Caenorhabditis elegans: one gene and its partner. The protein of the gene in region 2 purifies or fractionates together with the protein of the main gene of each other region. This does not show direct contact. Each region holds a gene or a part of one and is shown on either strand. Other genes may lie near its edges. The genes, in order: npp-13 and imb-1.

What was found.
Region 1: the proteins of imb-1 (region 2) and npp-13 purify together in Caenorhabditis elegans (affinity purification with western blotting, with the first as the bait; one study listed by BioGRID). This does not show direct contact.

What each region holds. Positions count from the first base shown.
Region 1 is NC_003279.8:2,095,590-2,100,546, forward strand, and holds the start of npp-13 (Nuclear pore protein), read left to right. Parts: upstream 1-1,756; 5' UTR 1,757-1,757; coding exon 1,758-1,856; intron 1,857-1,910; coding exon 1,911-2,150; intron 2,151-3,000; coding exon 3,001-3,117; intron 3,118-4,957.
Region 2 is NC_003279.8:4,920,033-4,927,894, forward strand, and holds imb-1 (Importin N-terminal domain-containing protein), read right to left. Parts: upstream 6,202-7,862; 5' UTR 6,164-6,201; coding exon 6,106-6,163; intron 6,054-6,105; coding exon 5,858-6,053; intron 5,811-5,857; coding exon 5,675-5,810; intron 5,627-5,674; coding exon 5,363-5,626; intron 5,121-5,362; coding exon 4,860-5,120; intron 4,628-4,859; coding exon 4,109-4,627; intron 4,058-4,108; coding exon 3,800-4,057; intron 3,752-3,799; coding exon 3,502-3,751; intron 3,450-3,501; coding exon 3,259-3,449; intron 3,201-3,258; coding exon 3,051-3,200; intron 3,005-3,050; coding exon 2,909-3,004; intron 2,281-2,908; coding exon 2,098-2,280; intron 2,053-2,097; coding exon 1,966-2,052; intron 1,413-1,965; coding exon 1,371-1,412; 3' UTR 727-1,370; downstream 1-726. Other genes in the region: F21F3.7 (Transmembrane protein 230), read left to right, coding at 188-333; mfsd-13.1 (Major Facilitator Superfamily Domain containing homolog), read left to right, coding at 6,701-6,757, 6,802-6,933, 6,986-7,303, 7,351-7,862.

The DNA of each region.
Region 1 (4,957 bases), 2.8 Mb from region 2:
TTGTAAAACTAAATGTATTTGTCCGTGTGGAGTACACGACTTTCCCAGTCCGGCAGGCGATTGTCAATGGAGCGCGAAAAATTCAATGAGGAAGGCAATAACCCCGTAGTACTCTAATTAAGTGTCCCGTTTTTACGAAATTTTTATAAAAATTGGTTTTTTTTGTTTTTAGAGAAAATTATGAATATATTTTCTTGTTTTTCTAATCAACAAAAGCGAAATTTAATGTAAAATTACACGGGGTTCTGGCCTTCCTCGTTGAATTTTTCGCGCTCCATTGACAATCGCCCGCCGGACTGGGAAAGTCGTGTACTCCACGCGGACAAATACATTTAGTTTTACAACTAAAACCGAGCCGCGACGCGCCGTAAATCTACTCCAGATATGGCCGAACCAAAATGGCCTAGTTCGGCAAAAACTCTTCCATTTCAAATTATGAGTCCCCATCATGCCTAAGAACCCTCTATTTAGGTTACTGACACATCTGAAACCGGTGCTACAGTACCCTGCGTGGTGGGACCCGAAAATTTGAAATTTGGCAGAAAATGGGCAAGATGGGAGTCATTTTGAAGCTGAGAATGAGGAGAATGTGAATTTTAGAGTAATTTAGAGAAAAAAGTGAAATTGGGGAAAAAAAAACAATTTTTTTGGAAATTTTTTCATTTCAAAAATGTTCTTTAAATTGTCGTTAAATTCGAATTTCTCGATTTTCAGCTGTAAAATGACCCCCATCATGCCTGGGAATGCTTCAATTTCACACATTTCCCCATTGACACAGCTGAAACCGGTGCCACAGTACCCCGCGTGGTGGAAAAAAAACCCGAAACTTTCAAAAGAAATCCCTGATTTGTTTTACACTGAAAAATTGTTGAATTATCACGGGAACACAAAATTCAGAGAATGCGTATTGCGCAACAAATTTGACGCGCAAAATTATTAATATCTCGTAGCGAAAACTACAGTAATTTAAAGAATTTAAAGAATTACTGTAGTTTTCGCTGCGAGATATTTTGCGCGCCAAATATGTTGCGCAATACGGGCTCTCTGAATTCTGTGTTCCAGTAATTTTTACTTATAATTATTTTCCATAGACCAGTAAAACATTTACTGATTAAAAAAGCTCTCGACACAACTGTCACTAAATAATTCATTTTTTTAAAAGAAATTTAATGTTTTTTAGTGTTCAAATCATCCAATTTGTGATTTATTATCTGCTCCATGAGTTCCTGAGACCGATCTACCATCTGGCGGTGTACTTCTAACCGGAAAAGTCGATAATGTGGATGCTACGACACGCTCCCGAATTTATGTCTTTTTTTTCGTTTTTCTTTAAAAATAATACTCAATTTTCTTGAAACATTTTCATCGAAAATGTTTTTTTTTTCAATTTTTTTGTAAGTTTTTCATTTTCCCACTCAATTTGTACTGAATTCGATTCAATTCCAGCGGAAATTAATTTAAATTCAGCTCTTGGCAATGTGCCAAGAAGCTGGTGGCCTAGAACTCGAAATACTGGCCTAGGATTCATGCGGGATTTCGGAGTGTCGTTGCACCGATTTTTTCAAAATTAATTTTCGTTTTGCCGCGAAAAACGAGAATTATTTGGTTTTTAAAACGTTTTTTAACGATATTTTTCGATTATTTTCATATTTTTCAGGGTTTAAACTGGAAAATGTGGTTAATGTAAACTGGTTAATGTTGTAAATCCTTGAAAAAACCTAAACCAGTAATTTTCTCAATTTTTAATTCAATTCAGGATGCTACAGTTTACGGAGATCCTCGGAAGAGTTGATCATCAAGGATTCGCACAATTGCTTGCTAATCCGATTTTCCAAACCAACCGTGTCGGCCAAGAGGTTTGTAAATAATGTTTAAAATGTTAAAAACACCGAAAAATTCCCTTTTTCCAGAACTCGCAGCAATTCACAGTCCGAAATGGCGTCGAGCAGGAGCTTTGCGGTATTTTAGGCGGTTCAGAAGGCGACTGGACACGTCAGACGCACTCAGTTCAGAAGCAGATGATGTTTGGGGAGCGTGGCATCGAACTTCCGAGCCGCCAGCCGAAAAGTCACACCGCCGAGGATACTCTCACTGATGAAGGTGTCGTGGACGTGCCTGAAGCTGTAATGGATGATATTGACGAGGAAGAAGTACTTAATCACGGCCTCCTTGAGTGTTCATAATTATTGGAGCGAGCTCGCGTGGCACCTCACGAACTCCAGAATTTGCGGGAGTTCGTTCCGCGGGAACAGCAGTTTTTTGTTATTTTTGGCTTCTATAGGAAATATTTTTGATTTTTTGTTTTATAATATTCTTGAGAAACATCATCCGAATTGAAAATGTGTAAAATTATGAAATTGGCCGAAAACTGGAAGTTTTACAGAAGAAAGCCACTATAGTTTTTGAAAAAATGTATCAGGATCGCCAGTTTTGCGATTTATGCGTCGTAAAATATGTCATTTTGTAGAGAATTAAAAGTTTCATAAAAATTTTCGTTTGAAATTTTAATTCGTTAATTTCTAATAAAAAAATATTCAAAAAATCAACAATTTTACGTTAAAATCTTATTTCTTCAATTTTTAAGTTTTCAATAAAAACAATTTTAAATTTTCAAACAAAAATTCTTATGAAACTTTTAATTCTCTACAAAATGACATATTTTACGACACATAAATCGCAAAACTGGTCCTGATACATTTTTTTAAAAACTGTAGTGGCTTCCTTCTGTAAAACTTTCAGTTTTCGGCCAAATTTTATAATTTTACACATTTTCAATTCGGATGATGCTTCTCAAGAATATTATAAAACAAAAAATCAAAGATATTTCCTATAGAAGTCAAAAATAAAAAAAACTGCTGTTCCCGCGGAACGTGTTCCCGCGAATTCTGGAGTTCGTGAGGTGCCGCGCGAGCGCGCTCTAATAATTATGAACACTCCAGGTGGCCGTGATTAATTAATAATTTATCATGAAAACAACGTTTTAATCTTTAAATTTTCCAGCTCGACGAGGACATTTCTCGTGTTAAAGTGGAGACGGATCGAGCATTCTTCAACCACATGCTTCTTTCGAGACCTGCCGCAGTTCCCATGAATCCAGCACAGGCTATGGAACGAGATGTTCGTTAAAATCCCTTGCGCGGCACACCTCACGAACTCCAGAATTCGAGGGAATTCGTTTCGCGCGCACTTCTATAGATATTATTTTCTATTTTTTTGATTTATAATGTTGTTGAGAAGCATTTTTCCGAATTGAAAATGTTTAAAATTATGAAATTTGACCAAAAACTGACGGTTTTACAGAAGGCTTTCTTTAAAATGTATCAGAACCGTCAGTTTTTTGATTTCAAAGTCGTAAAATATTTAATTTTGTAGATAAAAGTCTGTTTCACAAAAATCCACGTTTGAAAATTTAAAATTGAAAATTGTTTTTATTAAAAACTGAAAAGTCTAGAAAAAATAAGATTTTAACGTAAAATTGTTGTTTTTTTGAGTATTTTTATATTAAATTAAAGGTGGAGCACCAAAAATTTAGACTTTGCTTTTTTGGACCCAAAATGTTCCAAAACTACCAAATTTCGTAATGAGACGTTCTGAAAATTTCTCAACAAAAAAAAGTTACGACCGCTCAAAGTTTTGGAAGAAATGGTCTATTTTCAGCTAAAATCTCAAATTTGTCAGCTTTTCAGTGCTGCATCGGTTGGTACTCAATTTTTATTTGACTAGCACTCTTTAATACATATTATGGTAGTTTATTACGCGTTTTTTCGTTGATTTGAGCCCATTTTGGGTTGATGGGTGCACAAAATTGTATTATATTTGTGCACCCATCGACCGAAAATGGGCTTAAATCAACGAATAAACGCGTAATAAACTACCATAATATGTATTAAAGAGTGCTAATCAAATAAAATTAAGTTCCAACCGCTGCAACACTGAAAAGCTGCTAATATTTGAGATTTTAGCTAAAAATCTACCATTTTTTCCAAAACTTTGAACGGACATAACTTTTTTGTTGAGAAATTTTCAGAACGCCTCACCACGAAATTCGGTAGTTTTGGAACATTTTAGGTCTAAAAAAGCAAAGTCTCAAATTTCGGTACTCCACCTTTAATTTCTAATATAAAAATATTCAAAAAATCAACAATTTTACTTTAAAATCGTTTTTTTTTATAAAAGATTTTCAGTTTTTAATAAAAACAATTTTAAATTTTCAAACGTCGATTTTTGTAAAATACTCTTTTCTCTCTACAAAATGACATATTTTACGACTACGAAATCGAAAAACTGACGGTTCTGATAGATTTTGAAGTAAAACCTTCAGTTTTCGGTCAAATTTCATAATTTTACACATTTTCAATTCGTATGATGCTTCTCAACAATATTATAAATCAAAAAATTCAAAAAAGAATTTCTATAGAAGCCGGAAATAGCCAAAAACTGCTGTCCCCGCGCGAATCGAATTCCCGCGAATTCTGGAGTTCGTGAGGTGTCGTGCTCGAATAATTATGAACACTCCGGGAGACCATGGAAAACAGGGGGTTCTGGCCTTCCTCATAGAATTTTTCGCGCTCCATTGACAATCGCCTTGGGAAAGTCGTGTACTCCACACGGACAAATACATTTAGTTTTACAACAAAAATCGAGCCGCGACGCGACACGCAACGCACCGTAAATCTACCCCCAGATATGACCTGGCCTAGTTCGGCAAAAACTCTTCCATTTCAATTTATGAGCGGAACCAGAGTTCCGTGCTCGTTTATAATGATTTTTATGCCGAAACACGGAATTCTAGCTTCCCTCATATATTGAAATGGAAGAGTTTTTGCCGAACTAGGTCAGGCCATATCTGGCGTAGATTTACGGTGCGTTGCGTGTCGCGTCGCGGCTCGTTGTAAAACGAAATGTATTTGTCCGTGTGGAGTACACGACTTTCCCAAGGCGATTGTTAATGGAGCGC
Region 2 (7,862 bases):
TTCAAACAGTTTTCCAATAAATTGTAAAAAAATGTAGAAAAATCGAGTAGAAAATTACTGTCGCATTTGACAAAAAAATGTTTCGTGTCCAGACCAGGTACCGTATTCTTTAACTCATAAATCATGAAATTTTGCTTCTTTGATAGCTCTACAGTAACCCATTCATCCAAATCCTCACCATTTTCAGCTCATTCCGGAATGCAACACTGGGTATTCTTCTTCGCCGGCCTCGTTTGCTTTATTCCGGGCTTCTACCACGTGTACTACGTGACGTGTACATTATGCGGCCGGCCTGGTTACTCATTCGACAAATTGCCCACTTTCAATCGATAGCCCCATCCATTTATTCTGAATCCACGTTTTGTAATCTAGTCAAACACACACAAAAAATCAGAATTGAGGTGGTCTCCTCATTTCAAAACCCCCGAAAACATGGTCATTCGAGAGATTTCTTAGCCTTCAATTCTCATCTAATCTTCACTTTTCTTCATTATTGTCGATGATTTCCAAGATTCCTCCACCGGTTTCTTTTTCCTCTAATCAAAATTGATTCAAATCCCCTGCATTTTTTTCCGAGCTTTTCAAATTGCCACCACCTTCCCTCTATGTACATAGTTTCTACTACTACCTTACTACCCCATCATTTATCATTTACTTCTATGTATTTATTTTTTCCTACTTGTCATTAATTTTTTTTTCGTTAAAAAAAAAATATATTCCAAAATATTCCAAGAGAATCATTTAGTGCAATTGATGTGTCTTGAGATTGAAATAGGCGGGATGACAACTGGTAACTGACAGCCCTTCGGATAGAAAACATAGATTTACAAAAAAAAACTAATAGTGTTAGCCGGTAAAACTTTGAGAAAAAAAATAGTGATGAATAAATAGGGGAAACAAAATGATAACGTATAGGGCCGTCAGATACCGTGTTAGAAGTTTCAAATTTGGGCAAAAACGATAATCGATAAAGACCGACAAAAAACAACCAGAAAATGATGAAGATAATTGCTGCTAAAAATCAGAATCATAATAGAAAAATTTGAATAATGAGGGGTCACACACACAAAAATATAAAGCAAACAATCTAGGAAACGAAAATAAAAGTGGGGGAAATTACATTCTAATTCGTCAGAGATAAAAAAATAAAATAAAAATACCGGGGAGGAGATGAAGCTGGAAACTTGGAAGATGGAAAAAACGGAGCAATGAATGAGAAAAGGAAACGGGAGAGACAAAGAGAGAGAAACAGAGAGCATATGACCTGTAAGAAGAGATGTGGGGAAATGAAAGAGAAATGTGGGGGGTGGAGGAAGAAAATAAGAAAAATTGGAAAAAAAAGTGAACTGAGATTGAAAGTTTTGTGTTGCTTAACGATTAAAATTGAACGTAGCTGCTCCGTTGTTCGTATGCTGCAACTAGTTTATTCGTTAGAAATGTTGATGAAAAAGGAAAAAAGTAAGTATTTATAGCTTAGAGAATATTTGTTTTGGAATTTTGCTTTAAATGAAAGAAAATTGACAGTAATGACCGAATATAACCGTTTAAAAAAAATTTTTGGATTTTTTCTAATTTCTTAAAATAATGTTTAAAAAAATTTTTGCAAAAAAATAAAAGGAACGACTGAATTAAATTTGAATTAGCAACTTTTGTTAGTTTTTTTTTTCGGAGATTTTGTCTTTAAAACTTGATGACCCACAAAAATTGCAGAATCTTCAAAACTAGCATACAACTTATAACTTTTTTGTGAAAAAATGTCTCAAAATTGGCAACAGGTGTTTAAAATCAAAAATTCGAAAAAACCCGATAAATTTAACCAGGAAAAAACATTTAGTAGTTTTTTTTGTTGCAATATTTTAAGAAATTCATGTAGATTTTTTTTTAATTTTTGTTGTTATATTTGGTCATTATGGTTTATTTTCTTGTTTTCTAAAAAAAAAATGAATTTCGATTTTTCAATGTTACCTTTTTAATTTCTTTGGTCGCCCAATTGGCCATCGATTTCGTCTTTGACACCTTTGACTTTCTACCCTTTTGCAGCATTTGTGTCACCTGGAAAATAATTTTCAGATTTGAATAATAATAATAAAAACGAACATTATCAGTTAGGAAGAATCGAATAATATCACCCTCATACAACTGAACAAGATCACCAATGATACCAGCTGTAGTAGCGATAAGTGCTTCTGATGGTGGAACTGGTTCCATTGATGAAATCCGTGTAATCAGTTGAACTATCGGCTCGACGAATACATTGATCATGTTTCGGGCAGCGGTCGTCTGAAATCATTAAAATTAAAATTTCCGGTTTGTCAAAAAATTATAAGCAAAAACAACTGTGTATTTTTTTTTAATTTGTTTAGTTTTTTTCATAGAATTTTCTCGCTTTTTATTATTAAAAAAATGTATAGAATAAGTTTAATATTGCAATTTTTTAACTAAAAAAAATTAAAATTTTAAAAAAATCGAAAAACGGAAATTTTTGAATTTTTCGTTTTCCGATATTTCAACAAAAAAAATCTTGAAATTCGGGTTATTTTTCCTCATTATGGGAAGAAATTTTTTTCAAACTTTTTTAATCAACATAAACAAAATTTGATCAAAATTGAATTTCATGGTTAATTTTTTGAACATTTTTCGATTTTCCGGTTTTTTCGGAAATTGTGTATTTTCAAAATTTTGGTGGTTTTTTCAGTTATTTTTTTCATGACAATTTTGGGAGAATTTATAGAATAAGTTTGATTTGAAATTTGACTTTTCAAATTTTACGAAAAAAAAACGCGAGAAAATTCTATGAGAAAAATTGAAAGAATATTAAATTTTCCAATTTTAAAAATTGAACATTTTCAAAAATACACTGTTTTTGCATATAACATTTTTCAAATGCGTCGTTTGCCTAATCACATACGTCAGGAATTGCCTTCAATCCTTGAATAATTCCAGTATATGAATTGAGGCAAGCTTCTCTTAATCTATCCACATAATCAACTTGATCATCATCGTTCTGGAAAAATTAATTATAAATTCGAATAATGTTTTTCATTTTTTACCGGATCAGTGACAACTGCAGCATTTTGAGCATTGTTGAGAATCGGTACAACACTGCCGACATATCGTTCGAAATGTGCTTCGATAGCCATTGCAATGTCAGCAAATGTTCCAATAATCACAACTTTCACGTTTCTATCTAACCGTGGTGACTGAAAAATCAAATTATAATTTTATGCGAGCTGAGTTTTCTCATTTCTCGAATCTTACCTGAAGACACAGAATCAACTTTTGAATCAATTCATCCATGAATGGCATGATTTCGGCTTCAAGAGCACGACTGAGGTCGGTGACAAGTCCAACGGCGGCGGCACATACTTGTGTCTCATCTGTATTCGAAAGTCCTTCTAGCAAATATGGTTTCAGCACGTTCATGTAACTGAGGAATCCTTTTCCTAGATCTGAAAGAATTCCAGTTCAAATATGCTTCAGAAAATCGGAAAAAAATCTTACGTTCTGCCAAGCAAGCAACAGCCAACAAAGCTTCTTCCATGACCGCATTACTTCTTGTCGCTGCAGCTCTGTTCATAATTTGATAAAGTCCGTTCATAATGTGCTCTCCAACGGCTGGAATGTCGGCTGGCTGCATTTTGCGAGTGACGGATTGTAATGTGGCACACAGCATTGCTTGAAGATCCCGAACTTGAGCCTTGTCAGCTTCACTGGTCGCCTGAGACTCCATTTGCAGCAGGCTTTCCAATTTCTGAAATTAAAATCATTTTTTCTCGCTCGTGATTAACACTTTTGTTGCCTTCAATATGACTACAGTTGTATTTCGAACAGCTGAGTAACAGTCCTTCGGTGAATGCTTGATCAGTTCCATCAGAGCCTCGTATGCAGTGATTCGAAGATTCGATTGATTTCCATCTACTCTGTCGGTAATCTTGATAAGCTCTCCAACCATTGGATCGAATACTGAGGAAAGAGCAAATGTGTCCGGTTGTCCACTTCCATCTGTTCCATTTGCGACGGCTGACTCATAGCAAGCTTTGACAAGGGAAACGAGGGCCTGAAATTATTAAAAAATAACAATATTAGGGAAATTAATAAAAAACGATACCCAGCAAACATTGTTAGCAACTCTTGGTTCTTGATGAAGACCATTGGAAAGAACCGGAAGAACAGATTGAAGAAGTTCCGCGTTGTTTGCAAGCTCCGAGCACGTATCAATAACTCTTCCAAGAGACCATGCAGCAGTATCACGTACATTGACATTCTTATCACACATGGCTGCAACAATAGCTGGAAGAGCTTCCTGTGCCATCGGAAGAAGCTTCTTTGGATCAGGACCATCAAGAATAGATCCGAATGCCATGATAGCTGCTTCCTTGTATTTCCAATCAGGATTTTGGAAGTGTTTGAAGAATGGAATCACGTGATTGACAATATCATCCCGTACACATTGAGCAGCAAGCATCAAGCATACACCGGCAGCTTTTGCTGGTGTCCAGTCATCATCATCGTCTCCATCGTCGTGGTGAGCCATTGCTTCAAGAAGAACCGGGCACACATGTGAAGCAGCTTGTTCCATGAATCGTAGCGATGCACATTTTGGATTTGGAGCTCCTCTTTCAACTTCCTGGAATTTTGGAGAATTAGAGTCAACCACAACCAATTATTTTCGGCAATTCTACGGAATTGCTTTCAACATTTCTTATTAAAAATTAATGTCAGAATATAGGAAATCTCTTGAATTATCTGAAAATCAACAGAAAAAAAGTAATTTTTAGATAATTCAAGTGATTTTCTATTTATTGACACTAATTTTAAATAAAAATGGCAGCATTCCGATCAAAACGCGTATTTCTTACATCCTCATAGGTCATGTACAAGTCAAATTCTTCCTCAGCGACAGTTGACCAGAATTCCATTCCTTGCATTGCCACTTCAGGCTCCTGGGATTTCATTGCAGAGAGAGTGATTTGGAAGAGTGCACTGCCCATATATGAAAGCATATGTTCATAGTACAGCTGCATGATCCGAACAAGACACTGGAGAGCAGCTACTTTTACTCGTTGATCACTGCTGCTCGTCGATTCACAAACAACTTGCATGATGATGTTTCTCTCGGCCTGAATTTGAAATAATCATTGAAGAGAAAGTATAGTTTGTGGGCAATTTGCTGAAATAGACTAACTGGCCTAAAACGATCAAATTTCATAATGATAACTCTCAAAAAATTTACCAAAAAAAATTTATGTTCTTTTGAAGATTTTTTAATCGCCATAACAAATTGCCGAAACATTTTTGAGAAGTATCTTTGCGAAATTCGTTCATTTGAACACACTTTGAGGTTAAACACTTTTTTTCTCACCTCATTGCTAAAGTTCGTGTTTGTGAACTCTAGCGAATTCAATAAAGCATTGGTGGCCGCGAATCGAACGTTGGCGGATGATTCCTCGGGACGCATTCCGTGAATAATTGCTGTTAGGACGTCATTGGCTTTTGTCTCCAAAACTCGTGGATCAATGTCTTGACAAATGTATCCAAGAGTTTCAAGTGAAGATTCTTTCAGCATTTCTCCGCTTTGTGACTCTGTCACGTTGCTCTTTAGCAGGTTGATCACATTGGGCCATAGCTAAAAAATATGATTTTTTTTATAAAGTCCTGTACAATATATACTTACATTTTGTGGAAGCTCTGCACATGCGATTGCTGCAACGCATTGAGCTGCAATTGATGGTCTTGATGGTTCAGTTCCCAATGTTCCGGTCACATTCTGCTTTACCTGTTCTCTGACTTCAGCCGTCAATTGTAGCCATCTGAAAATCAATTTTTATAAACTTTTTCTATTAAAAAAATGTTTTACCTTTGCAGATACACATTTTTGGTTTCAGTTTCTTTGGCACATAGAACGTTTTTCAACTGCAAACCGGCGGCTTGACGAACAAATGACTGACATTGCTGTGTGCGAAGTATCATACTGAGACACTGAACGAAAACGGGAAAATCTTGTTGACATGCCGCCGCAATATAGTCCATCGCCTGTTTCTGATCATTTTGATCTGAAAATATATTTTTATAATATTTGAAATCTACTTATTTAATTAAACTTACTTTGTGAGACGGTTTTCTCCAAAACCGTCAGCATCTGTTCTGCCGCTTGTTCTGCCATTGTCTTCAGAAACTTCGGAAGCCGAGTAAGCGTAGTTACTGAAAAATATGTATTTGAGGATGATTAAGTGAGGAAATACACTCTCGAGAGAAATACTAATCAATTTAAAATTTTGAAAATAGTTTTTCGGGCTTTTTTGATAATTTTACCGATGATAAAGAGTGAAATTGATAAAGTTTCGTAAAAAAGTTTAGCGGGAACCTATTAAAATTTTTTTAAATAAGAAAATTTACGTTTTTGATGGAAATTTTAGAAATTTCAACAGATTTAGAAGTGCAAAAATTCGAAAAAGTAAATTGCGCCGAAAATTTCATGAAGAGACGCAGAGAAAACGACTGTTATAGGAGCATTGTCGCGCCGAGACACTCATTTTCAAATTCGTTGTATTTCTCTTCCATAACAGATTTTCAATGGAGCGTACATGCATTATTTCATTTTTCTTCATTTTTTTTGCTGTATTTTGCTGTTTTTTCATGGAAATCTGTTCAAATTCCTGTAAAATTAATAGTTTGAAGAAAGAAATATACGAATTTAATAATGAGAAGTTCCCTATTATCAATCGGACTCTCACAGTTCGGATTAAGTGTTCTGCAGGTGAGAGTTTCGTATCCTAAATTCTCAAAAAGCTCAATTTTCAGACGCTCTTCATGTTTTATTATGTTAAAGTATACATTAATCAGTTTCACGTCAACACAAAATGGTTCAACATTGCGCAAACTTTGTTTATGGTCTGGAATGCAATAAATGATCCACTTTTTGGATATTTGCAGGTATTTGTTATATTTGTAAGCTAGAAATGATTATTTAATATTTTGTTTTCAGGAAATTCGTGGATCATGGCTCACAAATCGCTTATTAGTGATCAAAACTTTATCTCCTTTCCTTGTTGGCTCATTTGTGTTCATGTGGATCCCATGGAATACAGAAGGTTCAGATTTGGAAGGATTGCACCTTGTTCTCTCATTATTCCTTTACGATGCATTCTTCAGTGCAATCAGTGTTGCATGGGGAGCTCTATTCGCTGACACCACACAAAATCAGTCATTGATCCGAGTAAAAGCACTGAAATATTCTCAAATCGCAATTCTTTTATCGGTATTTTCGATTGCTGTCACGGAAAAGCTGAGCAACAGTTTAAAGGTATTATTATTTAAAATTTAGATTTAAGAAATGTTCGCTAATTTCAGAATTTTCCGATTTTCCAAGGAATCTGCTTTTTCGTCGCAATACTTTCTTTCATTTGTCTTTGGTGGGGAGGTCACTTTGGAAAAATCACAAACAATCGTCAAGAGGATAAGGAACAAGGAGATCGAGAAGTTTTAATTGAAAAAGAACAAGAAAAAGAAAAGGAACATCAACTAACATTCCACGAAAATGTTCAAAATTCTATTCATCTTACCAAGCAAATTCTCTCACAACGACAGTTTCTCGCCATAGTGATCACCAATTTTTTCCATACAGCAAGAAGTATTGCTCATATGAATTTTGCATCAATTATTACAGAAATCCTAATTCCTCAGGATATTCTACCGAGTGGATCGATTCGATTGAGTTTATTCTTTATGCTACTCACACTTGGACCACAAATTATTCTAATTGTTAATGAAAAGCTAATTGCAAATGCTGGCGCGATTCGGGTGATTTCTGTTAGTTATATTGTCTCGTTTTTATCCGGATTTATGATCGTTGCATCCGGAAA